Saccharomyces cerevisiae S288C: one gene and its partners. The gene in region 2 interacts genetically with the main gene of each other region. Each region holds a gene or a part of one and is shown on either strand. Other genes may lie near its edges. The genes, in order: RQT4, EXP1, SPS2 and KIN2.

Region 1 (7,352 bases), on a different chromosome or scaffold from region 2:
TTTTCTCGAAAGAGATCGTTTTGAATGCATTTTTACCCATCGATTTCCATTTCGCTCCTCTAGATAAAGTTACTCTGCATCGTATTAGAATTTATCTAACAGAGTCTATGGAATACACTTGTAATAGTAATGGAAATCACGAGAAGGCTCGTAGATTAGAGCCAACTAAAAAGTTTCTGTTGGCTGAACATAACGGTCCTAAACTGCCTCATATACCAGCTGGTTCGAATCCTTTGAAGGCTAAAAATAGAGGGAACATCCTCTTGGATGAAAAATCCGGCGATCTAGTTAACAAAGATTTTCAGTTCGAGGTGTTTGTCCCAAGCAAGTTTACAAACAGTATACGGTTACACCCTGATACAAATTATGATAAAATCAAAGCCCACCATTGGATAAAAATTTGCCTTCGTCTTTCCAAGAAGTACGGGGACAATAGAAAACATTTCGAAATAAGTATTGATTCTCCAATCCATATTTTAAATCAACTATGCTCACACGCGAATACTTTGCTACCGAGCTACGAGAGTCATTTCCAGTATTGTGATGAAGATGGTAATTTCGCACCAGCAGCAGATCAACAAAATTACGCAAGTCATCATGATTCCAATATTTTCTTCCCAAAAGAAGTTCTTTCGTCTCCCGTTCTTTCACCTAACGTGCAGAAGATGAACATTAGAATACCGTCTGATCTTCCAGTAGTGCGTAATAGAGCTGAAAGCGTAAAGAAAAGCAAGTCAGATAATACCTCCAAGAAGAATGATCAAAGTAGCAATGTCTTCGCATCCAAACAGCTGGTCGCAAACATTTATAAGCCCAATCAGATTCCAAGAGAATTAACTTCTCCTCAGGCGTTACCATTATCGCCCATCACCTCACCAATTCTCAATTACCAACCATTATCAAACTCCCCGCCTCCAGATTTTGATTTTGATCTAGCTAAGCGCGGCGCAGCCGATTCTCATGCTATTCCTGTGGATCCTCCATCATATTTTGATGTATTAAAGGCCGATGGGATTGAATTGCCATACTACGATACAAGTTCATCTAAAATTCCTGAACTAAAACTAAACAAATCTAGAGAGACATTGGCCAGCATTGAGGAGGACTCATTCAATGGTTGGTCTCAAATTGATGACTTATCCGACGAAGATGACAATGATGGCGATATAGCATCTGGTTTCAACTTCAAGCTGTCAACCAGTGCTCCGAGTGAGAACGTTAATTCACACACTCCTATTTTGCAGTCTTTAAACATGAGTCTTGATGGGAGAAAAAAAAATCGTGCCAGTCTACACGCAACATCAGTGTTACCTAGTACAATAAGACAGAACAATCAGCATTTCAATGACATAAACCAGATGCTAGGCAGTAGTGACGAAGATGCCTTTCCCAAAAGCCAATCATTAAATTTCAATAAGAAACTACCAATACTTAAAATTAATGATAACGTCATACAATCAAACAGCAATAGTAATAACAGAGTTGATAATCCAGAAGATACAGTGGATTCTTCAGTCGATATTACAGCATTTTATGATCCAAGAATGTCATCAGATTCCAAATTTGATTGGGAGGTAAGCAAGAACCATGTTGACCCAGCAGCCTACTCGGTTAACGTTGCTAGTGAAAACCGTGTACTGGACGACTTTAAGAAAGCATTTCGCGAAAAGAGAAAATAAGTACATTATTTTCATTCTCCGACAGAATTGCTACCATTTTACTTTGTGTCCTGTGATTCAATAGTGTACAATATATTGGACATTTTATAGTATACAAATATACACCATCAATCTATACATCCATATCACTTGTCGTAAAGATATCCCTTTTTAATAGTACAGCGATTAAAAAAATAACATGATTAACGTTCAGTTACCAATGAGCTTATTTATTAGGCTTGCTTTAGATTTTTCCAAGTCAATTTTTGTTTTTTCTAACGCTTGCAACCTCATCTCAACCTTCTTCCTTTGCAAGCAGATCTTCGAAACCATCTCGTTTATTCTCTCAATGCTGTTCCCACTTTCATCATCGTCTGGGAAAAGTACCGGTAAGGGCGTGATGATTTTCTCATTCGATTTGTTTATATTTCCTTTGCTTAAAAGCTGGGTTTCCCATTCTTCATTAGTTCTGTAGGGCACTTCATTTATGGCCTTCTCTATAATCTTTCTTTTAGAATCCTTTTGAATAGCAATTTGATTATCCGTGAGGGCTAGCATTTCGTCTTGAAAGCCTTGCATTTCATCGTCACTGAAGTTCGTAATCTCCTTTTCATTGTTACGTTTCAGACCACCATTTAATCTTATTGTCTCCATAATTTCGCGTTTATCCTCACTGTCCAACAATTTTACATAATCTCTTTCTGTTGTAACATCACTCTCACTAATTTTCCTTCTAGATAATGACTTCTGTGCTTTCAGTTTTGCAATTTCTCCTCGGGTTGGTATACTACTAATGTGCTCACCTTCGGAGCTACTGCCAGCCTCTGAAGAATCACTTAATAGATGATGATTCCCCTCCATCAAGTCCTCCATATTGAGAATTAGCAAATCATCTTTGTTTCGCGTCGATGCATTGGTATTTTTCTTTGAATGGTAAAGATCTTCATAATGCGAATTATCCTCCTTTATTGCTTGTTCGCCATCAAAGGTAATGTCGCGCTTAGGAACTTTTTTAAACTTTATTGGTTGTAATACACAAATGTCGTTGTCATCATCTTCAGAATCGTTCGACACTAGGGGCTTAATTTGCTGCATTGGCTTATGCGCAGAACCATCAATTCCAACCTCCTCAGGAGAACCACTTGGTAACCTAATTTTATTTCTTTTCTTGATCGCCATAATGTGTTCAAATGCTATAACATTGCTAGGCAGAACTTGACGTAACTCGACCAGTTATATTGCTTCTTCAAAGCACAAATTTATGATGATTGCTTTCAGTTATGAGGTTCATTTCGATATTCTTTATGATCTTCGCTTGCCGGGTATCGGACAAATATTGAAATATTATACAGCAAGAAAGAGGCATAAAGAGCCTGGCAGCAGCAAATAATGGCAAAGTGAACGTAGTCCGAGAAACAGTGGCTTAATTATTTAACCTTGGGTTTGCAGTAATTAATAATGACAAGAAAGCAGGCTATTGACTATGCAATCAAACAAGTTCCGCAAATATTGCCTTTGGAAGAGTCTGATGTAAAAGCGCTGTGCGAACAAGTACTGAGTACATCATCTGATGATCCAGAACAAATTGCTTCAAAATTTTTGGAGTTCCTAGGTCATGAAGATCTATCGTTTGAATTTGTAATGAAGTTCAATGAATTATTGAATCAGAATGATAAAAAAGAGGAAAAAAAAACGAAAAATGTGCATCTTGAACATACTGCCCCCACTTCATGGAAAAATGAATCAAAACAGCCCACTAATAACTATATCAATAAGAAGGGAGATGAAAAACCAAAAAAATTAAAGGATGAGAAGAAAAGCTCGACAACGAGGCCTACCGTTCAACCATCAAATCAATCTACGCAATCAAACCCCATAAAGGAGAAAAAAGAGCACAGATCAAAGGGGAAATTACAATCGTTACAAGAAATAGACGAAGCAATCAAGATGCTAGAGCTTCGAGATAGCGGTTCTTCTAAAAATTGTAATTGTCAAGGTACAAGGCATCCAGTTTTCGACATCGCGCCAAACTGTCTTCACTGTGGTAAAGTGGTTTGTGTTATAGAGGGATTGAATAAAGGTAAATGCGGTCATTGCCATGAACAGTTGATTTCTGATAACGAAAGAACCCAAATGGTAGAAATTTTAAATCAGGAAAAAAACGAACTAAACGGTTCATCATCGTCCTTATCCAATGCGTCAAATGGAGCTAATGTCCCAAAGAAGAAGACTAAAACCTACAAAATAACTTCCGGTATGGGTAAAAATTTATTTGCTGAACAGGACAAATTATTTGATTTCATCGAAAGGAAAAGAGAAAGAGAAAGAAAGCGTAATGAAGTGTTGAAATTGCAGGAGGAAAAAGAAGAGAGCGAAGCAAAGGAAAGACAAGCGAGCGAGCATGACCATAAAGCTGAGGAAAACCCGGAGTTGTTAGCAGCACAAGAACGATTAGATAGACTTTTATATTTCCAAGACACTTCGGCAGAAAGAACAAAAATTATTGATAATGCCAGCGATTTTGACATGAATCAGGAGGTGGGTTTATGGGGCAGCGCAAGAGAAAGAGCTCTTGCGTTGAAGAAGCAACAACGTAATTTGAGAAAGTGGGAAAAAGTAGAAAAGGAACGGAATGGCAGGCGCGAGAAGTACGTTGTTAGCATGAATATAGGTTCAAACGGTAAAGTTACTATGACAGAAGTCCCTAAGGATACAGAGAACGTAATTGCAGGTTCAGATGATGACATCAGTGATATAAGTGACGAAGAAGATATCAGCGACCTTAAACATATACACGCTCTGAAAAGTGAAATAAATACAACGAAATCCTTGGAGAATTTGCATTTACAGTCCAAAGCATGGGATTACGAACGTGATAAAAAACAATTCGATAGGCCTACGTATGTGAAAAAAAATTCAGATACTGCACAACAGAATAGAAAAACGGAAGAAAAGGCTCACGACATGCAAGCTTATGATTTAAAGTCAAGAGTACAAGTGGACCAAAATGCAGACGCATCAGTAGAACAGAATATTCTTGCTGTACTTTGATGAATGGTAAAAGTTTATATTATATATGATAGAGGATATAACCGTTATTCATTTTCTGTAGATTTTATCATTTTCTTTGTCTTCATAGTATACAATTTTTTTTTATATGAATTAATGCTTGTTCTTGTCTATTTAGTAGTTAAACTCACTTGCTATTTGCTTCTCTGCCATACGAGCCATACGAAACATTTTATTTTTAGAGTTTTCCTTAGTTGGCTTCTTTTCACTATTACCATCCTTACTACTTTGCAATCCCATAGCCTTTGGCCTTTCACGTAACCCAAAACTTTTAGCTAAATGGCCTAGATGTAAGAACTTCACGTTGAAAAACTTCTTTTCTTGAGAGATATGCGTTGCGTAAGCCCTCACATGACTAATGAAACCTTTAACGGCCAAATTTTTGAATGCGGAATCTCCCACTACTCGTCTTTCTATATTCAAATGCCATGTCGTAGCATTGGTATCCCACTCATATTCTTTATCGCCCACGTCTTTATTTTTGGACGATTTCTCATCTTTTCTAATGAATTTATCATTTCTGTTGACATTCACATCTTTGAAAGCCGGCATTAGTATTTCTTTATCGAATTTCAGTAATTCCCAACCCATCGGATGATACGGCTGGATATAGTCCATATATTTTTCTTCTTCGCCAGGAAGTAAAAATAACAAACTTTCACCCTTCTCACCGGCCCTTGCTGTACGACCAACTCTATGTAAATGGTCTTCAACAGCAAATGGTGGATCCAACTCAATAACAGATCCAACGTGGGGAAGGTCTAGGCCTCTACTTGCGACATCTGTACAGAACATAATAAGATGTTTTCCCTTGGTGGCTTCATTATCACGAGCAAAATGCTGCAATGTAGAGGTTCTCATTTGTTGGGATAAAGAACCGTGCAATTTATAAATCACTACATCTGGGTCCCTAGAATCTGAAAAACAAGGAAACATAGTGTTTCCTTTTGTCAATAGTCTTACAGAATCACCCGTTAGATTTTTATGGTGCCCGTCACTTCCTGAAAATGCGTCATAATGAAACTCCACGCTGTCTGAACATGATACGAATACGATTGTACGCAGCGTTTTGGACTGTTGACCGGAAGCGATGAAATCTTTGGTAATGTTGTTCAAAGTAGCAGCTAATGTTACAAGACGCAACTTTGGTGGGACAATAGTAATCCTCTGCAATAGTTGATCGGGCGCAACCGTTACTATATCAGAATCTTTCTTGGTACCGTTGCTAATCAATTTGTAATCTTTCAACGCCACGTTTCTTAACCTATTAACACCATCAGTAAGTGTAGCACTACATAACATGTGCACTAACTTATGCGGTAGCTTGGGAAATTTTTCGGAGTTGATGGGAATATCGTGAACAATTTTAATAATTTCACTGATCGTCTCATCAAAACCCAATTCCATTAACTTATCTCCTTCATCCAATACGATATACCTTAGAGATTGACTCAATTGCTCCTTGATAACTTTTGTATTTTGTAAATGATCCAAAACACGACCTGGTGTACCGATTATGAAATTGCAACCCTTACGCAATCTAGCTTTTTCTGATTTCTTACGTTCTCCACCAATCAATAAACATGGGACCAAGTAGTGACAACATGACACAAGCGTGGAACAAACATGATATATTTGTGATGCTAGTTCTCGTGTAGGAGCAATAACCAATGCAAATGCACCAGAAGTACGATCAACATGAGTATCCATGTTCAAAATAGTAGATATTATAGGTAAAAGATACGATAAAGTCTTACCTGAGCCTGTTTGGGCGTGAATGAAAAAATCGTTCTTCCCCGCGTTACCTATTATTTGAGGTATGGCCTGCTTCTGGATGCTCGTAGGCTTTTTAATACGCATTTTTTGCTCCAGATGAGAAACAAGAAGACTAGAGACACCTAAAGACGCAAACTGATCACCTTTCAAGGGCGCGTTAGACGGATTGATGGCAACGTTTTCATCATGAATATTAGTGTTTACCGCAGTTGTAATCTCTCTGTTAGATGTAAACAGGGATGAAACAAACTGAGAATCGGCTGGTAGAGTTCTCCCTTGAGTGTTATGAGCATTTCTACCCTTATATTTTTCCTGCTCTTCAGAACTATAGGAACTCTCCTTATGCAATTTTTTAATAGAATTCTCGCCTCTACCCGGAATTATCCCTTCGTCCCCTGTAGTGTTCGCCTTTCTTTTCCTCGAGACTGTCTTGCCCTCAAGCTTCATTTTCATTCTTCTTCTATCCTTCCATCTACCGCCTGTCACCTTGGCAGCTTGCTTATAGGAACTTCCTGCAGTGTCCTCATTGGTAGTGAAGTTTAACAGCATAGAATCTTCATCGCTCATCTTGGTGTTAAATTGCTGAATAAGTATGCTTATTTGGAATATGAATAATCCCAAAGGAAAAAGAATATAAACAATCGTACTTTCTTAAATTAGAAATATCACATACAAGTACTCAATCTTTTATTTTCCTAAGCTCATCGCAAATTTTTCAAGTAAAATGGAAACCTAATATGTCAGGGTTTTTAATCCATATTGTTAGGGCAACATTCAATTTTAAACTGAAATTTTATAAAAACTCTGTTCATTTTTCAGGCCTTAGGGTTAGTATTCTGACAAAATTAT
Region 2 (6,537 bases):
AAATCTGAAGCCCAAATTATCCTACGTTGGGTGACCAAACGTGGCGTGTTGCCTGTAACCACCTCTTCCAAACCTCAAAGAATTTCTGACGCGCAAAATTTATTCTCTTTCGACTTGACGGCTGAGGAAGTCGATAAGATAACGGAGTTGGGCTTGGAACATGAACCGCTAAGATTGTATTGGAATAAATTGTACGGTAAATACAACTACGCTGCTCAAAAAGTATAAATACCGGATAATTTATGTACGAGTCATATTTGTTTTGTATAACTTTATTAATCGACTTTTTTTGTCAGGTTTATCACCCCGTTACCCATCCCGCCACTTTTCAGCATCGAGGAAGAAAAAAGGGCTGTACATTATATAAAAGGCCATCAAAAAATACCGGAAGAGGGCATCTCCCCAATAAAGGTGCCACACTGAGCAGAGACAGATAGGGACGCGCATCATGTGTTGCTACTGTGTTTGTTGTACCGTTTCTGACTTTATACTGTATATTGTTGCGTTTTTTTTCCCCCCAGCTGCAGTCCTTCTTCGATCTGGGCCTTGTTCATCTGATTTCCTCCTGAATGTATTGCTAACGCTACTGGGATTTTTGCCCGGTATGTTACACGCATTCTACTACATCACAATTACAAGTCCTTTAAGGAACGCTGAATACGTCTATTATTACCAGCAAGGCTGGGTGGATAGCGAAAGAAACGTTCCTTCGAATCGTCCTCAAAACTCGCAGACCCCCCAAAACCGCCCACAACAAGGAAGCTCCGCTAGAAACGTATACCCGAGCGTTGAAACTCCTCTGTTACAAGGCGCAGCTCCCCATGACAACAAACAGTCTCTGGTTGAGTCTCCTCCTCCTTATGTGCCATGATGAAGCTACAGCAAGGAAAATGAAAATTCCAGCAAGCAAGCAAGCGAAGACCGTTCTTCTCTTTCCTATGATCTTCCTTAGCAAAGAGGTTTGCCAGTCAAAGTAAAAGAGCTGCCATTAAGAAATGTATTTCATTTTGACAGCTTCTTCGATCAATACCGCCAGCTCCCTCGAGCCTATAACTATTTTGCGGATCTGTAAGCCGTAATGTTTTTCCCATAAACGTCACTGAATGTCCATATATCATACTACCAGTAAGCGCCTGTTGGAAACCTTCCTACCTTCATACGTGTATTCTGCTATATCCCTTCTTTTCCTCTTTACGTACAGAATGACATCTATGTAGGCAAGTTTCTTTTTCCATCATTGGAAAACGAAAATACATTTTTCACTAGCACCACAAAATTTTCAAGATGGCCAGGCTAGTTAAATCTATTATACAATAATTATTGGTTATATATTTAAAAAACAGAAACATTTTTTGCTTTAAAAGCACGCCATAGTATTGCTTTTAATATTGTGATCTGCGTCCTTTTTTTTCTCAGGAAAAAAAAATTTTATACACATTCAAAGAATAGAAGCGATTGTCAAAATTCGCTTCTCCTTTCTTTTCCATTATAACGTCTGATCATTTTACGTCTTCAGTGCCCTCCCTTGTTCGAAACTAGATACTTTCGAACACTTCTCCCCTTTTAATCTACAAAATTTTGTATGGATTTGTTTATTGAAAGCAAGATAAACAGTTTATTACAATTTTTATTTGGTTCCCGACAGGATTTTTTGAGAAATTTTAAAACTTGGAGTAACAACAATAACAATCTATCGATTTATTTATTAATTTTTGGCATAGTAGTATTTTTTTATAAAAAACCAGACCATCTAAACTACATTGTTGAGAGCGTTAGTGAAATGACAACAAACTTCAGAAATAATAATAGCCTTAGCCGTTGGTTGCCCAGAAGTAAGTTTACCCACTTAGACGAAGAGATCTTGAAAAGAGGTGGTTTCATTGCTGGTTTAGTTAATGATGGTAACACTTGTTTTATGAACTCTGTTTTGCAATCATTGGCATCATCCAGAGAATTAATGGAGTTCTTGGACAATAATGTCATAAGGACCTATGAGGAGATAGAACAAAATGAACACAATGAAGAAGGAAACGGGCAAGAATCTGCTCAAGATGAAGCCACTCATAAGAAAAACACTCGTAAGGGTGGCAAAGTTTATGGTAAGCATAAGAAGAAATTGAATAGGAAGTCAAGTTCGAAAGAAGACGAAGAAAAGAGCCAGGAGCCAGATATCACTTTCAGTGTCGCCTTAAGGGATCTACTTTCTGCCTTAAATGCGAAGTATTATCGGGATAAACCCTATTTCAAAACCAATAGTTTATTGAAAGCAATGTCCAAATCTCCAAGAAAAAATATTCTTCTTGGCTACGACCAAGAGGACGCGCAAGAATTCTTCCAGAACATACTAGCCGAGTTGGAAAGTAACGTTAAATCATTGAATACTGAAAAACTAGATACCACTCCAGTTGCGAAATCAGAATTACCCGATGATGCTTTAGTAGGTCAACTTAACCTTGGTGAAGTTGGCACTGTTTACATTCCAACTGAACAGATTGATCCTAACTCTATACTACATGACAAGTCCATTCAAAATTTCACACCTTTCAAACTAATGACTCCTTTAGATGGTATCACGGCAGAAAGAATTGGTTGTTTACAGTGTGGTGAGAACGGTGGCATAAGATATTCCGTATTTTCGGGATTAAGCTTAAATTTACCGAACGAGAATATTGGTTCCACTTTAAAATTATCTCAGTTATTAAGCGACTGGAGTAAACCTGAAATCATCGAAGGCGTAGAATGTAACCGTTGTGCCCTCACAGCAGCGCACTCTCATTTATTTGGTCAGTTGAAAGAATTTGAAAAAAAACCTGAGGGTTCGATCCCAGAAAAGTTAATTAACGCTGTAAAAGATAGGGTCCATCAAATCGAAGAAGTTCTTGCCAAACCAGTTATTGACGATGAAGATTATAAGAAGTTGCATACAGCAAATATGGTACGTAAATGCTCTAAATCTAAGCAGATTTTAATATCAAGACCTCCACCATTATTATCCATTCATATCAACAGATCCGTATTTGATCCAAGAACGTACATGATTAGAAAAAATAACTCGAAAGTATTGTTTAAGTCAAGGTTGAATCTTGCCCCATGGTGTTGTGATATTAATGAAATCAATTTGGATGCTCGTTTGCCAATGTCAAAAAAGGAAAAAGCTGCGCAACAAGATTCAAGTGAAGATGAAAACATTGGCGGTGAATACTATACGAAATTACATGAACGCTTCGAGCAGGAATTTGAAGACAGCGAGGAAGAAAAAGAATACGATGACGCAGAGGGGAACTATGCGTCTCATTACAATCATACCAAGGATATCAGTAACTATGATCCCCTAAACGGTGAAGTCGATGGCGTGACATCCGATGATGAAGATGAGTACATTGAAGAAACCGATGCTTTAGGGAATACAATCAAAAAAAGGATCATAGAACATTCTGATGTTGAAAACGAGAATGTAAAAGATAATGAAGAACTGCAAGAAATCGACAATGTGAGCCTTGACGAACCAAAGATCAATGTTGAAGATCAACTAGAAACATCATCTGATGAGGAAGATGTTATACCAGCTCCACCTATCAATTATGCTAGGTCATTTTCCACAGTTCCAGCCACTCCATTGACATATTCATTGCGCTCTGTCATTGTTCACTACGGTACCCATAATTATGGTCATTACATTGCATTTAGAAAATACAGGGGTTGTTGGTGGAGAATATCTGATGAGACTGTGTACGTTGTGGACGAAGCTGAAGTCCTTTCAACACCCGGTGTATTTATGTTATTTTACGAATATGACTTTGATGAAGAAACTGGGAAGATGAAGGATGATTTGGAAGCTATTCAGAGTAATAATGAAGAAGATGATGAAAAAGAGCAGGAGCAAAAAGGAGTCCAGGAGCCAAAGGAAAGCCAAGAGCAAGGAGAAGGTGAAGAGCAAGAGGAAGGTCAAGAGCAGATGAAGTTCGAGAGAACAGAAGACCATAGAGATATTTCTGGTAAAGATGTAAACTAAGTTATAAATACGATATCCGTAATTGTGTAAATAACAATAACTATAATTAAATTGAATAATTAAAAGTCTACGTTATTCGTTAAATCAATTGTTTAGCTAGTTACGAATGTCTAAAGTTTTTGTAGGACAATTGCAAAAATCACTTCCATTATTATACAAATCCTTCGTAAGCTTCATTTTTCTTACCATTGTACTTCTTCAACTTTTTCTCTTCTTCTCTCCGTTCATCTAGTTCATCTTCGTTAATTAGGTCATCAATATCGAAATCGAAATCATTTGGATCTTTGTTGTACTGTCCAATTACACGTCTTTTAAGGCCTGTCTTTGAGTCTATTTCAAATTTTCTGGAAGCGGAAGAGGCACTTGCACTGTCATGGCCAAGGCTTTCCTCCGTGTCCTTCAGATCAAACTTTAATACATTGGTATGATCAAGTTTTTTTTTCAAATATTCCCTCTTACCAAGCTTACCAGTCGCTGACTGTGCTGTTGCAGACGATTTCGGTTTTGTTAGTTTGAATGTACCGATGCCAGAAAACAATGGCAACAATGCAATGAAAGCAATCACAATAATGAGAAGTAAAAAATAACCGTATAGATTCATGCTCCGGACTTATTGACTTAGGCACCGAGAACTTTAAGGGAATTCGTCCTTTTCTTTTACTAAACGTAGATCATGGGTGCTTGATTTAGAGATACAACTCATCGCACTTGACAAATTTCAAAAAACCGTATTCAGTGATCATATTTGAAAAGTCACGTTTCTTACAATGTCCACATAGCCCTATAGGATATGAGGGATTAGTAACCGTAAATGATCTCTTTGAATCGCATTTTTAATTGAAAGCAACCTCGCTTGAAGACACTTACAAATCGTTACGTACTACTGAATACCAGAAAGATAGTATTTCAAAAAAAACTAAGCGAGAAGATAGAGTGTAGCAATGATTAAGCGGTCTCTCGCAAGTTTAGTTCGAGTCAGCTCTGTAATGGGCAGAAGATATATGATAGCAGCGGCAGGAGGAGAACGTGCCAGATTTTGTCCAGCTGTAACAAATAAAAAGAATCATACTGTAAATACTTTTCAGAAGAGATTTGTAGAATCCTCGACAGATGGTCAAGTTGTGCCTCAAGAAGTGTTAAACTTACCGCTTGAAAAATACCATGAAGAGGCAGATGACTACCTAGACCATTTACTAGATAGCTTAGAAGAACTGAGTGAGGCTCATCCGGATTGTATACCTGATGTAGAGCTAAGCCATGGCGTAATGACATTGGAAATTCCAGCTTTTGGAACGTATGTAATAAACAAACAGCCTCCAAATAAGCAAATTTGGTTGGCATCACCATTGTCCGGGCCTAACAGATTTGACCTTCTCAATGGGGAGTGGGTTTCGTTAAGAAATGGCACAAAGCTAACAGATATACTTACTGAAGAAGTTGAGAAGGCCATTTCTAAAAGCCAATAAGTGCACTTATCCATCGACTCTCTTATATTTATTTAAACACTTGTAACGCATCCAATCTATTTCATAGTTAGAGTCTCTCTTCCTTGTTATTGATATGATTTTTCTTTTGTACCGTGTGTGTATGTATGTATGTATGAACGTACTACTAAGCTTCAACGTCACTCTATAAAGAAACTAAAAAGACACGTATTTATACCTTTTTTGAAGAATGCGAGATTGCAATGAAATATGTGTCTATTTTTTACATGAATCTTTTGACCAACTCCTCATATATACCCCACGCAATACCTGCACTGAAGGCCTTTCTTGCCAGCCTCATGCTTAACCCGCTAAATAACTTCAGCACATTTTCATTTTTAACTATAGATGTAAATGTATTGAAGGAGTTGGTAAATTTTGATGGTTCCAATTGCATTCTCGTTTTTATGGTGTCGAACGGTGCCGTTACTGTGGTGGCTAAACTGGCGGATAGTACGGCGCTTGTTGTATTTACTGTTGTAGAGGTATAAGTAGTAAATCCTCCCTCAGGATTGTAATGTATAAACCTAGAAGGTAATACCATGGGCAGTAATTGTTTCGATTTTTCATATAGCAGCACATACAAACCTGCATAGGGAGCGTCTCTTAAACAAGTAGCTCCAAACCCTCTGAAAAATCCAAAAAGTCCTTCCTTAGTATATATATGGGTAATTGCCTCCTTTAAACTGGAGTAATTGTACAGAGTAGACTCATAACGGACTTTAATGACGGTGATAGGCATGGTTATATAACCTACCAAACCTCTTGCAAATGCACCTGTTAGTAAATTTTCATACATCGTTAATCGTGGTAAGCTACTGCTCTTGTTATATACAATGTTTGAATCGTTTGTTAATGAAGGCACAGCATTCCTCCTCTTTGCCAAAGATGAGCGCATAAGGTTCAAACATGATAAATATAAGGCGCTGCCTATTGATGTTCGTAATGCTGAAGGTAATGTACCTCTCCATAGCTGTAGAGGGCTGTCTATCTCTTTCAAATTTTTCCATAATGTAGCTTTCTTGTCTTGCTGGATTCTCG
Region 3 (7,308 bases), 1.2 Mb from region 2:
GAACCGCTGCGAGGATGATCGAGGTTTTGAGGTATATTGTGTTATTTTAAAAAGCATCGCTTTATTAATGGCCGCGAAAGAATCATTGATATTACTACAAATACCTCCTTCTTTACCATCAGGATTTCCATTTCGTTCACCCCAACTGTCATTTACATATTTATCAACCCGTCTTAGTGGGAGCCAACACAAATCTACGCATTCTCATCACATCAATCATCAAACTCATCCCATTCATAGTAGCAGTAGCAACAGTAATAGTAATAACCGTATTCCTACAAAAACAGATTCCTCCAAACAGCATACACAGCATTTCTCTTTTGCTAATGCGGGAGCCTCCAATAGAGACGAACTGCTATCAATCGTGCGCAAAATTGATAAATCTAATTTGAAGTGTTGTGACTGCGGTAGCACCGCAACAGTAGAATGGGTGTCAATCAATTTATTGTGTATATTGTGTATCAAATGTTCGGGCGTTCATCGATCTCTGGGTTCACATATCTCCAAAATTAGATCTTTAACGCTGGATAATTTCACCTCGTTAGAGTTGATGCATCTTTTACAAAATAATGTTTCCAATAGTAATGTTAATGCCATTTATGAAAGCAATCTCAGGAACTTTCCAGTTAAAAAAATAACTGCAAATTCTGATGACTCGGAAAGATCCAAATTCATTATTGATAAGTATCAATTTAAAAAGTTTGTTATCGACAGCAACCAAGGCAGAGAGGCTTCTTTGAAGTCTTTAATTAAAGCTATCCATTTAGATAGTGTTTTCATGATGCAAAGAGCCATCGCCCAAAGTAAATATTCCCTAAGAGAATTGACGGCAAGCGAAAAAGAGCAGAATGATCTAAACCATTCTTCCATTTTTCAATATTCCCTAAAGCACTATGAAATTGTTGATGGAACGCCCATTTTTTTTATTACAGAATTTTTATTGTGCAATGGTATTCATATAGATAATTTACCGAAGATTACTACGAATTGGTCTCCAAAGGTTTTAGAATATTGGGAAACTAAGTTGGAGATGTACGGAACATTCCAAGCTGTAAATACTTCTCGTCCAAGATCAGGGCCGCATTTAAATATGCATTCAAATGTAGATTCAGCTTCGTCCTACAATAAGAAACACGATTTGAGAGTTAACATACCTGAAAGAAGTGCCTCAGCAAGTAAAAGGTGGAGTTTGAGCTCCATTCCTAAGTCTTCTCAAAATTTGATGTCCCCAACAAACTTATTAACAATGCATAAGTCTTTAAAATTGGCCAAAAAGGACAAAAAATAACATATATGATAATTTAACTGTATTTTTTTCCCTTTTCTAATACTTTTTCCTCAAGTTATATTTCGGAGCTGTCCCAGGTTCGGAACAATGCGGCATCAGGGATAAAAAAAAATGACACATAAAAACGAAAAAGACACAAATTCCATTTTTTTTTTTTGACGCGAAAGAATGACACTACTTTCTTCTATTGTAACCATTTCTAACATCGATATTTTACTTGTTAGTTCAGATATATACTAAAGAGTCACTTAATATACTGTTTTTGTTTATTATCTTGGTTCCAACTGCTTCATTTAATATTTCCTATCCAAAAAAAGCCAGCTAATTCTCTTCTTTTTTTTTCTTATTTTGCCATTTTCAATATTATCGATTTAGTGAACACCTGGCTAGTCAGTTGTCTTAGCAAACATTTCTCAAAAGAAAGCAAACCAGCATTTGCTTTTTAAATTTAGTTTTTTTACTAGCTAATTCATTTACTAAACAACAAAAGAAAATAGCACAAAATGGAAAGCAAAGAAATATCAATTAGGTCAAGAACCCCTCCATCGAAGCTATATTCCATCCAATCATGTATTGGCAGAGGTAACTTTGGTGATGTGTATAAAGCAGTGGATAGAGTTACGCAAGAAATTGTGGCAATTAAGGTGGTCAACCTGGAGCATTCCGACGAAGACATTGAACTGTTAGCACAGGAAATTTTTTTTCTGGCGGAATTGAAATCTCCTCTTATTACAAACTATATTGCAACAATGTTAGAAGATGTCTCTATGTGGATTGTCATGGAATATTGCGGCGGTGGATCATGTTCAGATTTACTGAAGCGAAGTTACGTCAACGGTTTGCCTGAAGAAAAAGTTTCCTTCATTATTCATGAAGTCACCTTGGGTTTGAAATACCTGCATGAGCAAAGGAAAATTCATCGTGATATCAAAGCAGCTAATATTTTACTAAATGAAGAAGGTATGGTTAAGTTGGGTGATTTCGGAGTAAGTGGCCACATTCGTTCCACTTTGAAAAGGGACACTTTTGTAGGAACGCCGTATTGGATGGCTCCGGAAGTTGTTTGCTGCGAAGTTGATGGGTATAATGAGAAAGCAGATATATGGTCCTTGGGTATCACCACCTATGAGTTACTCAAGGGCTTACCCCCATTATCTAAATATGATCCTATGAAAGTTATGACTAACTTACCAAAAAGGAAGCCTCCAAAATTACAAGGTCCCTTTTCGGATGCAGCAAAGGATTTCGTAGCTGGTTGTCTTGTTAAAACACCTGCTGATCGGCCATCGGCATATAACTTGTTATCATTTGAATTTGTTAAGAATATCACCATAACGAACTTGAAAAGTGATGTTGATCTAATTAAACAGAAAAAGGTTCAGGAGAGATATACAAAAGTTCCCAAATACCCTCTTCAAAATCGCTTGTATAAAAACAGCAACACAGTGAGGGGAAAGGAATTTTGGAATTTTGAATCGACAAGACTAAGCACAACACAAATTTCCAAAGAGGAATTATCTCCCATTACACAAGACTCTCCAACATCATCTTTAAATATGGAAAGTCCTTATTTACTTCATGGGCAAACTGTAACGCCGATAACCAACCCAAGTTCTTCATCATTTAGAAAATGTACGCAACCAGTTTTCGAGCTTGATTCAGGAATGGATATAGATTCAGGCTGCCCAAATGCTCAAGCAGAGACCGAAATAGTTCCTCTCTCTAATCATAATAAGAAGCATAAAAAGAACGATATTCAGGCGTTGAAGATAGAAAAGTTTGACTACTTGAAAAACATTGTATCTCATATTCTCAACAGAATGTATGATCGTGCGCGCGACGATGAAACAAGAAAATACGTAAATGAAATGTTAAAGCAATTCATTAAAACTGAGGCAAACGTTCCTGGATTTAATGAGGTTTTTATAGAAGAGATCTCACTAAGAATTGAAGCAATAAAGAAAGGATTCGTTTAAAAAAATAGATATATATATATAATGTGTGTATATGCATGAGTTTTTGTTTTCCATTCTCTTTCATCTTCAATAAATGAAGGATGGATATATTGAATTATATAACAAACAGTAAAAAGTCATGTGTTTTTGATTATTTACCTGCTTATTTCTCCCTTTTTTTTTCGATTCTTTTTTTCTGATCGAGCGTTTATGTCTTTACTGTCCCGTCATTGATGCGTCTCAAAAAAAATATTTTGTGGCATTACTTAGACTATAAAAGAAAATGCCAATTTGGAAAACACAAACATTCTTCACTAGTATTTCTGTTATTCAAATAGTCAATAAAGAAACCAAAGTTTCTACAAAAAAAGAAAAGGATAGCATGTTGAACCAGTTGAACACAATCTTAAGATTTTTATTCTTGTTTCTGCAGTTAATTAAATCATCCGCTGCAGTTGAACCTAATGGTGGACCGAATATTCTAGATCACAACATTATGTTGGTTAACACTAATGCAACGATCCCTAAAAAGGAACAAACTGATTTTGAGGTGATTTCTCCAACAAAACAAACACAAGTAGATGAAGACTGTAAAAAAGGCTTGTATCATATTGAGAATGCTGGAAATTTGATTGAACTGCAAGCTAAATGTTGGAAAGTGGTAGGAAACATTGAAATATCAAGTAACTACAGCGGATCTCTTATTGATCTAGGGTTAATAAGAGAGATAGAGGGAGATCTTATTATCAAGAATAACAAACACATTTTTAGAATCCAGGGTTATAATTTAGAGTCTTTGGGAAAGTTGGAATTGGATAGCCTAACTTCCTTTGTATCATTAGACTTTCCCGCTTTAAAAGAAGTTGAAACCGTTGATTGGAGAGTTTTGCCTATTCTAAGTAGTGTTGTCATTAACGGAAATATTAAAAAGATCAAAAATATTATCATATCTGATACTGCATTAACCTCCATCGATTACTTCAATAACGTCAAGAAAGTGGATATTTTCAATATCAACAATAACAGGTTTTTAGAAAATTTATTCGCAAGTTTAGAAAGTGTTACTAAACAACTAACCGTCCACTCTAATGCCAAAGAGCTGGAACTTGATTTGAGCAACTTACACACGGTTGAAAATATGACCATTAAGGACGTTTCAGAAATTAAACTAGCTAAACTTTCCTCTGTGAACAGTTCTCTAGAGTTCATCGAGAATCAATTTTCAAGCTTGGAACTACCACTTTTGGCAAAAGTTCAAGGAACGTTGGGGTTAATAGATAATAAAAATCTGAAAAAGCTAAACTTTTCGAATGCCACCGATATTCAAGGGGGTCTAATGATTGCTAACAATACAGAGCTTGCCAAAATTGATTTCTTCCCCAAGTTGAGGCAAATTGGCGGTGCAATATATTTTGAAGGTAGCTTTGATAAAATTGACCTCCCAGAGCTAAAGTTAGTAAAAGGTAGCGCTTATATCAAAAGTTCATCTGAGGAATTAAACTGTGAAGAATTTACATCACCAAAAGCCGGTCGTTCGATCATAAGAGGCGGTAAAATCGAATGCACATCTGGTATGAAAAGTAAAATGCTGAATGTTGATGAAGAGGGGAATGTACTAGGAAAGCAGGAAACTGACAATGATAATGGAAAGAAAGAAAAAGGAAAAAATGGTGCAAAAAGTCAAGGAAGTTCAAAGAAGATGGAAAACAGTGCTCCGAAGAACATTTTTATTGATGCTTTCAAAATGTCAGTTTATGCAGTTTTCACGGTATTGTTCTCGATAATTTTTTAGGTTAGAAGATTAACTTAAATACTAGCCATTTTATTTAGTTCTTATGAGATATAAATTTGCAGTAGAGATGTAGTGTTCTGATTATCTTCACCTGGAGCATAGCGTAGCCCACTTAGCATCAGCTTTTTATGTTATTTCAGGCATTACCAAAACTGGTTAAACTATTGAAACTGTTACCCTCCTTTTAATTTTGACAGTTTTTGAATAATTATTATGGTAGATCATCTTAACAAAATGAGCTCATTAGGTAGATGATTTAATTGAAAAATAGTGTTTTGATACGGTTCTTCCTTAGGGTTAAAACCACTCACATTTTGCTTACTCACCATTAAAACATCTTTCCCAGTTGTATTTTATATTTCTTTCGGTTTGCTGAACATCAGGGAAAAAAATGGATATAAACTCAAATGCCTCAGTAAGCCCCAGACCAGATGGTTTACCGATGACTGCTGGATATAATTCTGCTTCTGGAAAGGTGCGAAATAGTATCAGATCCATAATAAACCACCCAGAGGATAGTGCAAGAGCCAAAGAGCGCAGTGAAACGAACAGTCCTAAGAATAATGGCAACAAAAAACCTAGAAAGAAAAGAAAAACATTTAGTTGTGATACTTGCAGGAGAGTGAAGACAAGGTGCGATTTTGAACCTTTCATTGGAAAATGTTACAGATGTAACGTTCTGCAGCTTGATTGCTCCTTAGCCAGGAATAAAGACAATGAAATTTTGAATACTTTACGTGAGGATGGTCTACTAAAGAAGATCAACTCAATTAATCACAACCTTGGTTCTTTCTCTCATTTGAATGCGGACTCTCCCAACGAAAGCCAAAGTAGTTTTGAAAAGAATGGAACGGTCAATTTTGATAATTACATGATCGATAAAAGGCTTTCATCTTTAGAAGAGCACATAAAATCTTTACACCAGAAAATGGACTTGATAATCACCACAGCAAAGATGTCTTATAACAGCGATATCAAAGGCCCTGGAGATGATATTCAGAACGTGGATTTCAGCTCAAATAAGACGTACGATAGTCGTCTAACTTCGGGCTCAGAGACGATAAGGAAAACAGGGGAATATAGAAAAGAAAATCTTTTCTTAAATGGATTTAAGTTGAAGGAATCTCCTTTAAAATTGCTACATGATATTGATGAGAGGCTATTTCCATCGAAGGCTACATCTAAAGCTGCGAAGCTAGCTGGACAGCAAAGGCCATATGCTGTTGCAAGAGTGAACTTTCTCCATTTTTATGAGAATAATCAGGAATTATGCCATAAGCTTGCAAAAGAATTTCTGGTGAGATCCCATTTCTGGATAATTCCAGGTGGGAGAAAAGAGATAGACGTGGAATATGCCCACTCACACCTATTTATTACAAGTGTTTTTACTATTATCGCTATGAGTTTTGCTGACAACGATAAATACGCTGCAGAACAAGAAATATTGTATCCTTTAGTGGAGAGATTACTCACTAATACGTTAACCATGTTTGAAAAGTTAACAGCGTTTGATATTGAGGCTATTTTATATTGCTGTATGTTCCATATTTCGCGAAAGGCAAAGAGATATAGGCAACTGAAGTTTAATTCTCTGGTACTAAGCAATTTTGCGCTCAATAGCTTGTTACATGTAATAGATTTTTATCAGATAAAGGATAGGGTTTTGGTAAAAGAAGTGTATAATCCCGAAGATCTTTATCATCTAAGAATACTAAATTCACTAACTGCCTGCTATTTAGAATATTCCATTAGTTACGGCGATATTAGGGAACAGGATGATATGCTTAAAGAGTTTAATAAACTTGTGGCGAAATTTCCTCAGGCGAATTTTGGTGATGACATTAAAATCAGTGAGATAAATTTAGGTGACATCGTAAATGGCATCTTTATAAACCTTAAAAATTATTTTGCGCAGTGTTTGGATGACTTTAACAATGACAGATATGGAGGTAACGCAGATACTTTTATCTTTGTTTTTCCAGAGCTAAATTATTGGCTGAAAAATTGGGAAGAGCTTTTAGCAAAGGATGGCGCGGGCGTGCTATTGTTCACATTTGATTTTTATCATATCATGATATGTCGCACTTTTATCACAGAATTTTCTTCCACGCTAAAAAGCAACCAAAGGTTTTTGAAACTAATTCTTAATACGATGAAAGAACATTCATTTTCGCTGTTGAATGGGTTTTTGAGACTACCGCCAACGTTAATAAGGGGTGCTCCGATTTTTACTTGTCATCAACTAGTCTACGCCTGTTTAACTCTTTGTGACT
Region 4 (9,156 bases), on a different chromosome or scaffold from region 2:
GGGCTGCTACATTGCTGATCATTTAATAGCGATCCTCTTTGGAAGATCAACTTCCTTGCGTTTGTCCAATTCCACTGTTCCAGAAACAGACGAGCTACCTGAAATTGAGACTGGTATAGAGGAGTACATATATGACCCAAAAGTAATATTGTCCACTGCAAACCCCTTGAAGAAACTGATTGTGTTATCGAGAATAACGGAGATTTTTGCATCCAAGATTTTCAGCCCAAACGAAACTCTACTTCAAAGGAGTGAATACTTGGCCAAATTTAATCTGGAGGTATACAATTGGAGAAGGGATTTGCCCCCTGAACTACAATGGACCAAGAGGTCATTGATGGAAATGACAGATTTTAACCCAACCATAGCTTACGTATGGTTTCATTACTATATCGTGCTAATTTCCTATAATAAACCTTTCATATACGAAATCAAACAAAGCCGGGAATTGGTTGAAGGTTATGTTGATGAACTGTATTATCTTTTAAAAGTTTGGAAAAATAAATTTAAGACGTTTGAGAAGGCCACAATTTACATGATTTATTCTGCGATTTTAGCCATCCAATGCATGAAGTCCAACTTGATTAAAAAGGATAGAAAACAAGACTTCTTAAATTTTTTAAGTGCGCCTACCCTGAATTACGAACTTGCTAGAAAATTCATAGAAAACTCTGAAGATGCTTTGCATAATTCAGAAACTATGGATTTATTAGGGACTCTATCTCACGGTAACGATTTTGCCTTAGAGTACAATTTTGACTTTACTTTATTGAATGAGATTGATATGCTGATTGGTGGAAACACCAATGATGGTTTGTCGAAGTAATCTTGAGTGAAGAGGATATGTTTACTTGAACAAATATTCTTTATGTAATGTGTTTGTAGCCTTTTTATTTGGGAAGGAATATACCGCTATCCTTTCCCACCTCCGAACTTATCGATTCGGAATTTTAAAGAGCCTTCCAAATGACAAAAAAAAGGATTGTAGTTCCTAGATAGCGAAATCGACTGAGCAAGATAAAAGCAAACATTCCCCATCATCTTTGGCGACGACACATGTGTTCCATAAGCTAAACTCAAGGAGCAAATGATAGTAGATTATGAAAAGGACCCTAGGGCTAAAGAGGCTATTGCTATTTGGGAAAAAGGTGTACTGAAAGAGAAGGATGGGTCAATGTCAGATGCTATAAACTTCTATCGAAGTGCATTGAAAATCCATGATAATGTGGAATCACTGTACAGAAAAAAAATACTTGATGAGTGGATGCTGCACAAAAAACTATCGGGATTATCAATGACTACTGATGCTCCAGATGAACAAAATGAAACCGGTAAAGATGACTTATCTGTTGAAGAAAATGCTGAACTTCAACCCTGCTGGATTCTGGAAATCTTGCCTGACGACATTTTACTGAGAATTATTAAAAAAGTTATATTAATGTCTGGTGAATCTTGGGTGAATTTGTCGATGACTTGTTCCACCTTTAGCAAGCTTTGCTTCCACGATTCTGTGCCATTTAAAACTTTCGCGAAGTACATATATTCTAAGCAAATATACGACAAAATGGCAATGGATCTTAACGGAATCACCGATATAAATACCTTTGAAAAGGAAATATGGCGGGGTGATGATTATCGTATGTTAAGGGAAAGGCCATATATTAAATTCGAAGGTGTTTACATCAGTGTAGTAAATTATGTAAGATACGGTTCCAATGCAGAAAGTTCGTTATCTCTTTTAAAGCCAGTTCACATGATCACCTATTACAGGTATTTCAGATTTTATGAGAACGGCCAATGTTTGAGATTACTTTCTACAGATGAACCTAGCGCTGTCGTGAAGCACTTCTCCAAAGAGAACAAACCCAGGCATAGTCATATGTGTTATTGGAGCCTCGGATTTGATTATGATTTTGGTCATTTAAAGATAACAAGGTCAGATGAAAAGTATACGTTTATCGAAGAATTCCAAATCAAGAATCAAGGCAATAAGAGATATCAACGGTTGAAATGGCTAAGTTCAATTGTAGTGGATAAGGAAGGGAATGCATCTAACTGTTCGTTGAGAAATGAGAAATCTTTTTTCTTCTCCAGAGTGAAATCTTTCAAGGATCCTGGATGACATCGATGTTTTTTGCAGTTGTTTTACTTTATTTATTATTCTTATAGATTTATGTAGAACTATTATTTCATCATATGAAAGATTAAAGAAAGCAGATCTCAGCTTAAATAAATTATACTATAATATTAAAAAAAGATAAATATTAGATAATAAAAATTGAAAGACACACGTTGAAATATTTAGTAAGAACAACGTATCTATAGGTTTAATTCTTTTAAAATATACGATGCCAATTCTTTATATAGCCACGTATTACCAGAAACCTTTTTGAAATGTACACCTGCTAGGCCGACGATACGAACCTTTACAATGTGAATCTCAAATTTAATAGGAGGCCTTTCTTTTATACCAGAAGTATTGGTTTGCTCTGTTTGACCATTTACGTTATTTATATTTTGGGCTCTTGATGTTGTTAAAATATCATCCTGTTGTTGAACATAATCTAATGACATGGAAGATAGTTCCCCTGATGTACCATTACTTTGGTTTCCGTAGTTTGGAGACATTGGGATAGATGAATTTCTTTGATGTGTATTGGTCGCTAAAGGTGTTAGTGGTATATTATTCTGGCCCCTCTTATAAGAACCTTGGCGTTTTATCGAACTATTTCTTGATGCTGAGGACGCTGTACTATGGTAACTGGATGATAATTGACTGTCTAAACTATTTTGCAGATCCATCGCCTTTCCGGAATCCAAACCCACGCCAGTAGTGGTTATAACAGGGACAGCTGCAGTCTCAATAGATGGCCTTTGTTGGACACATATGAACCCGCCTTTCACTTCTTTGAAATCAATATTCATTCTTGTTAAAACAGATATGATATTGTGACGAACAATAGGCAATGGTTTAGAGGAGGTTGTTTGTACAGAGAAAAAACCCTTCAAAAACATTGACTTTGGATAATCAATTGATGGCATAGACCCGGGGGGTGCCTTTGAAGCTTCCTCCAAAATTTGCTTCTCAGTAAGCTCCTGAGAATACACCGAAGTCAGTCTATTGTTAGTATCGTTACTGTATGTGGTAGAATCTTCAGGAACGGTCGAAAAGTTACTGCTAACAGGATTGTATCTCTCCTTGTTTGCCTCTCCCAAAAAGCCGTTATCGTTTGTCATATCTGATGGCGGAAGGGCTGCTGGTATAGGCGGCCTAGTAAATTTCAAAGATTCACGACGAGCATGCCCCACCGATTTAGCCCTTGCACTAGGATGTAACTTACGACCCTTCGGAACGGAGAGATAATGGTCACTATTATCATTATTGATACCATCGACTACAGCGTTCACATTGTTGTTATCATTATCATTAATTTGTAATTTGTCGAGATTTTCCTGTAATAGTTTTTGCCGTTGTTTTTGAACAATTAGTTCGGCGTTCTGAGGTAAAGCTGGAAGATCACTGTTTTGCTTTTGTGATACTGACCTTATAGGAGGTGCTATGGTAGTGTTTTTAGCGGGTTTCTGTTTTACATCAACAGAATTTGGCACGTAAGATGGATATCTTCTAGCGCTAGGAATATAATCTGATATAGTACGACTATGGCTTTTCGGTACTTTGATGGAAATTTCATTTGATTTTGACATATATGTTGGAGGTTCTCTTTCTGGAAGAGGTTCCTGTTGCCGTGTGGGATGCTGAGATTGTCCACTTTGTGATATTCTTCTGAATATGCCGCCTATTGTATTCTTTTCCTGATGTTCACCTACTACGGGTGAAGCAGAACGTTGCTGATATTCGCCAGACACGGGGACTGGTGTTGATTTCAAAACACCATTTAATTCCGTATGAATGTCGGAACTCTTCCTAGATGTTGGAGAAGTATGCGCTTGTTCCGGTATTGTTAGTTTAGGAGGAACCATTACATGCAGTGGAGGTTTGTTTGAGGTATTAGTGTTGTTTGAGGTTCCCGATGTTCCAATTGCCGGCACTTGAAAAATACCAGGATTAGGTACTACTTCTTTCTGAGGGCTCCTCATTTTGGTCATAATATCCGGGGAGTTATTATTTAAGGCGACCTTAGTGCCAAGTGCTACTTGTTGCTGTTGTTGCCTTTGCTGAGCTTGCGCTTGCAGGGCCAATGCTTGCCTTCTTTGCAACTTCGCTAATTTCCGTGCAACCATTTCTGAAACCAAGTGATATATTGATAGTAATGGATGATATGCTAAAGTAGGATCTTCAAAATTACTATCTGGTTCATTATAACCACTTTGCGATGGATTACTTGTAATATGATTTTGTATTAAGGTTTGTTGTGCCGTTGAATTTAGGTAGTTATTATTTAAACTTGAACTCAACCCCTTGGCGTTGGATAATTTGTCCCAGTATTCTTGGGAAAGTTGGATGTATTCCTTTTCAGTTACTAATCGGATCAATGATCTTCTTGTATCTTCAATATCGTCAATAAATTCTAGGCGATACATTTCCTTCAGAACTTGGCTATCTATCATTTCAGGGGTTAATGGAACACGATTAGGAACATATGATGGAGCCTTAAAATCGTATCCTCTGTTCATCCATGGATGCTCAACGACATTCTTTAATGTTGCTCTTCTTAATGGGTCGACAACAATCATCCTGGTTAATAAAGATATAACTTCAATGGATAAGTGTGAAGGATAGTCTACTTTACCTTTTTTTATTTTTTCATGTAAAATGCTTGAGTTCTCATCATCAAATGGTACTTTACCGCAGACCAAGACATAAAGAACAATACCAAACGACCAAATATCTACCTCAGGTCCTGTGTATGGCTGCGCTTTTAATAGTTCTGGTGCTGCAAAGTACAAGGAACCACAAAACGTATGTAATTGTTTCCTATAATCAAAAATGTTGGAAAGACCAAAATCAATGATCTTAATTTCACCTGAACTAGATATCATTATATTCTCAATTTTCAGATCTCGATGAACAATATTATTGGCATGTAAGTATTGCAGCGCACTAGCTATACCTCTGGCAAATTTCCTCGCATGGTGTTCCTTTAATGAGCCATGCTGAATAATATAATCTAACAGCTGTCCACCGGAAACGTATTCAAAAAGCATATAAAAATGGTTTGACATAGTGCACATTTCAAATAAACGACAGATATGAGGATGGTAAAGGATTTGGCCCAAAGAGGCTTCCCTAACAGTCCTTTTATCCCTCGCAATTTCTTTTTCTAACCGCTTTTGTCTTTCTAATATCTCACTCTCATTCTTTGGGGAAGGTAAAGAGTGCTGTTTATGGAGATAAGCCTTGGAAGCCCTATTAACAATCTTTATTACACAAATTTCCTTTGTTTGACGATGCTTGACCAATTTAACTTTACCCATAGAGCCTGCGCCAACCGTTTCAAGGAACTCCCAATCTCCCAAAGATCTTCTATGAAATTGCCTTAATTCCACGGCGCCATTAGGCCTCGATGCATCATTTTGTCTCTGAGCTGCCTGTTCCTTGCCCTGTTTGATATCTGCAGGAGGCATCAGTGGTGCTTGTTGCTGGTCATTTCTTGGTCCAGATTGCTTGCCCATCATGCGAAGAGTGGCTGGTGCAGCAACTCGCGTGTCGTTGAAAGCTTCTGGCGTCGGCGATAAAGATCCGCCCTTACTGGTCCTGAAATTTGGATTCACCAAGTAATCTGCTGTATTCGGATTAGGCATAGTGAAATACTTAACAATTGAGCCGCGATATTAATGGCACAATAAAACTTTTAGAAATTTCTTTTGAAAAGCGTTTCTCGGTACCTAATGCTGTTCGCGCTCAGAGTTCCGCTGAATTTCGTGTAATGCAGTATATTTTGTAATAAAGTTCTCGTGGCCCGTCCTTGACTGTGAATTTGTGTCAACGGCGTGCTCTATTCCTTGCTTAAACGGTGGCAAAGCAGGACTTCTAGGTCCACTTGAGCTCTTCTTTTCCTTTTCCAACCTTTTTAAATTTTCGTTGCTAGACCAAGTTACCGCTATCACCGCACACGGAATGCGAGAGCGTCAAAAGTGACATAATTCTTCCTTTCCAGCAACATTAACATTTATTTATTCAATAGTGACACGACTAAGAAACTAGATCAATTGCTCTATTTTACTCATACACACTGGCTAATCATATATAGATACAAAGCGGTGAATCAGCGATCGATGAGAACGAAGAGAACTAGGGGTACAAGAAATGTAGGAGCGAGCATGCCTGCCGGCGCTGCGAATGCGGATAGTGAAGACTGGAAAGAATATGTCTCCGAAGACATAATAGCCCAATTGAACAAGCACCAGCTGCCGTATTCTGAAATATTAGATGAGAAGATCGCGGACTTGGCCAATCACTGGCACTTCCAGTATGTGATGGCTTGGCTTTCCAATGTCTGCGAATCATATACTACAACGACATTTAATACTGACCAGTATGGCGGTAGCTCTACCAAATGCTTGTGGAAGAATATCAAATTCGATGAAGGTGTATTTGTAACTGACGTATTTTCGAAGATAGACGGGAAGGACTCGAACTATTACAATGATGAAGTCGACGTAGATGAAGGATCGCAAAATTTGTACGACAGAATTAGATTGCAATTATTGCATCAATTAGCGGGAAATAAAAGCGGGCAATTGAAAGATTGGAATGTTATAGTTAACCATCACTTGCAAAACTCGAGCGCGTATTCAGATTTGGTTACGGACTTACCTTTTTTGGAGCTTGAAATTGCACGCCAATTCGACATCATTTACAGTATCATAAAATTAATTGAAATGAAAAATATGATCTTCAAAAACTACTTAGCGAATAACTTGCATCTGTTTACGTTTAGTGAAGTTATACTGGATGATGATAATAGTGGAGGGGAGGAAATGAAGAGCTTGTTTGCCTTACCCAATGTTGGTGTACTCGTAAAGAAAACCATTCACAGAGTAAAAGAAGGCTCTTCCTCCCAAGTCTCTCAAACTCTGAATATCCCAATAAAACTACAGAACTGTACTATAAAAGAAAGCGACCCAGACATTCCTGATTCAGTGGAGCTTATTCATCTCGAGTACTCTCACGATATCGATGCATATCTTCAATCGATTACAATTGATTATGATGTGATTACAACTAATTGGGGGTCCATGCTAGAATACTGGTCAGAGAATAAAAGTTCGAAAGCCATAGATGAGTTCATAACTAACTTAATACCGGTGTATGCCGAACATAGACTATATTCGGCAAAACTTTTGGCCAACAGAGAAAAGGAGAGAGCAATTGCGGAGCTAATGACAAGGAGGAAAAGATCTTCGAGACTGGTAGCGAAAGAGGAAGAAAACAAGAAAAAAGACTTGGAAAGTGAGTGGTTTGAAAAACTAGATGAAAGAGAACAATTTATAAGGCACAGAAACAAGCTAGTGTCGAAGGAAATCAAAAAGATAAAAGATCTTCTTTGGAACCAATTGTGGCAATTGTACGATCAAGATTATAGAGATGAAAAATTGACCAGGCGTAACGAGCTCAAAGATAGAAGTGGTTCTGGTACACCGTTTTTTGAAACGTCTTTGGGCAGGGAGGAGGACAATCCCTTAAATGAAATCGATATCGGAGTTCTTGATCACGGCCCTAACTTTCAATCTAGTATAATCCCGGTGGAACCACCAATTCCTGGAACTGTTGGGCCACTACAGACGGGAGACGTCCCTGAATTGCCTAGTGACTTCTGCATAACAAAGGAAGAGCTAGATGAGCTTGCCAACTACGGGATCTTTACTCCGCAGCAAGAGCCCGACAACCAAGATTCTGTTTTCCAATGTCCGGGCGAACCAGAGCTGGCGCCCATGATTATCACCGAAGACACGGAGACTGACCTCTTCAATAACCGCCCATTGATATGCTGTGATCATTGTTACAGGTGGCAGCATTGGGAATGCCAACCTCCAAAAATTATAGAGCTTATATCTTCAACCACAAAATCCCCACAGCACACGCTGTCGCAACGTGATTTTGGCGTCATCATAATGGGAAATTCGCACGGCAATAGAAGGTCTTCTCGCAGACCCCAATCCACACTTGAACCCAGCACCAAGTCTTCAAGACCTACTGATAAACGCAAACCGCTGTCTGAATGCTCCACTTTTATCTGCGCTTGGTGCATCAGGGACTTGGAACTTGAGCTGCGCAACATTTTTGTGCCTGAATTGAAAATAATAAGGGCCAAACAAAGAAAACAACAGGAAGACCGTGAAAGAAGAAAAAAAATGAAGGAAGAAAAGAAAAGGCTCGAAGAGCTTGCAAAGAAAAGGGAACTAACCGAGTCTGTCTCACCTCCAGTGTTTAATAATGCATTTGCAAACATGTCAAGTAGCACAACGCCTAGTATCGCCGCTTACGAAAAAACAAATCCAGCCATCAATCCAGCACCTAATGTAAATGCCGCTCACCCCATAATTACATACTCGCAGCAAACTGGCAGCAAAACTGTACCACAAGCACCACAGGCACCACAAACATCACAAGCATCAATCCAACCACAGCAGCAACAGCAACAGCAACAGCAACAGCAACCGCTGCACCCTAAAGAACAGAACTTTCACTTCCAGTTCCCACCAACCAACTAGCCTCATATAGAAATACACAGCAAAAGTATATAGTAAAATATATATCAACTGGTTCTTCATGAAACTTTCTTTTCCAGCCGCACATCCGTAGGGCTTCTGTCGCTTCATGTCGGGTAATAATGATGCTTAGGGCTTAGCGCCAAAATAATTAGGGTGTATGAGGCGGCTCCTGACTAGGGTCAGACGGCATTTTTTCGTCTTTTTTTATCCGGTTTTTCGTCAGTGGCCATCCTTAATGCGCGGCAAAGGTGCTGAAGGCGCCTTATTGTGTTAAAAAAGCCAATGAAATAAAAGTGGGATGGTGAGAACGCCAAACGAGTGAAACAGAGAATGGAAACTCGCTTCTTCACAAGTATTTGATGGCTAGTTTTCTCAATTACTTGTTTCTTTGGATAGACACGAACATACAGAACACTTTCAACAAGACATAATTATAGAATGCTGCTGGACGTGAACACAAATCACACACTAATGCACGAT

The links.
Region 1: mutations in EXP1 (region 2) and RQT4 together harm fitness more than expected from each alone (negative genetic interaction), as found in Saccharomyces cerevisiae (2 studies listed by BioGRID).
Region 3: mutations in EXP1 (region 2) and SPS2 together harm fitness more than expected from each alone (negative genetic interaction), as found in Saccharomyces cerevisiae (2 studies listed by BioGRID).
Region 4: mutations in EXP1 (region 2) and KIN2 together harm fitness more than expected from each alone (negative genetic interaction), as found in Saccharomyces cerevisiae (3 studies listed by BioGRID).

Annotation. Positions count from the first base shown.
Region 1 is NC_001143.9:480,303-487,654, forward strand, and holds RQT4 (Rqt4p), read left to right. Parts: upstream 1-3,116; coding exon 3,117-4,709; downstream 4,710-7,352. Other genes in the region: ALY1 (Aly1p), read left to right, coding at 1-1,679; NTR2 (Ntr2p), read right to left, coding at 1,869-2,837; DBP7 (putative ATP-dependent RNA helicase), read right to left, coding at 4,842-7,070.
Region 2 is NC_001136.10:240,970-247,506, forward strand, and holds EXP1 (Exp1p), read right to left. Parts: upstream 4,614-6,537; coding exon 4,164-4,613; downstream 1-4,163. Other genes in the region: YDL124W (aldo-keto reductase superfamily protein), read left to right, coding at 1-228; SNA4 (Sna4p), read left to right, coding at 449-871; ubiquitin-specific protease UBP1, read left to right, coding at 1,583-4,012; YFH1 (ferroxidase), read left to right, coding at 4,954-5,478; HEM25 (Hem25p), read right to left, coding at 5,720-6,537. UniProt on the Saccharomyces cerevisiae protein: Specific cargo receptor protein for the plasma membrane ATPase PMA1 that acts with PSG1 to promote the transport and maturation of PMA1.
Region 3 is NC_001136.10:1,481,522-1,488,829, reverse strand, and holds SPS2 (Sps2p), read left to right. Parts: upstream 1-3,526; coding exon 3,527-5,035; downstream 5,036-7,308. Other genes in the region: GTPase-activating protein AGE1, read left to right, coding at 1-1,288; putative serine/threonine protein kinase SPS1, read left to right, coding at 1,792-3,264; URC2 (Urc2p), read left to right, coding at 5,427-7,308. UniProt on the Saccharomyces cerevisiae protein: Involved in middle stages of meiosis. Redundant with SPS22 for the organization of the beta-glucan layer of the spore wall.
Region 4 is NC_001144.5:329,197-338,352, reverse strand, and holds KIN2 (serine/threonine protein kinase KIN2), read right to left. Parts: upstream 5,764-9,156; coding exon 2,320-5,763; downstream 1-2,319. Other genes in the region: CHA4 (Cha4p), read left to right, coding at 1-826; SCF ubiquitin ligase complex subunit HRT3, read left to right, coding at 1,088-2,122; IOC2 (Ioc2p), read left to right, coding at 6,238-8,676; GIS3 (Gis3p), read left to right, coding at 9,115-9,156.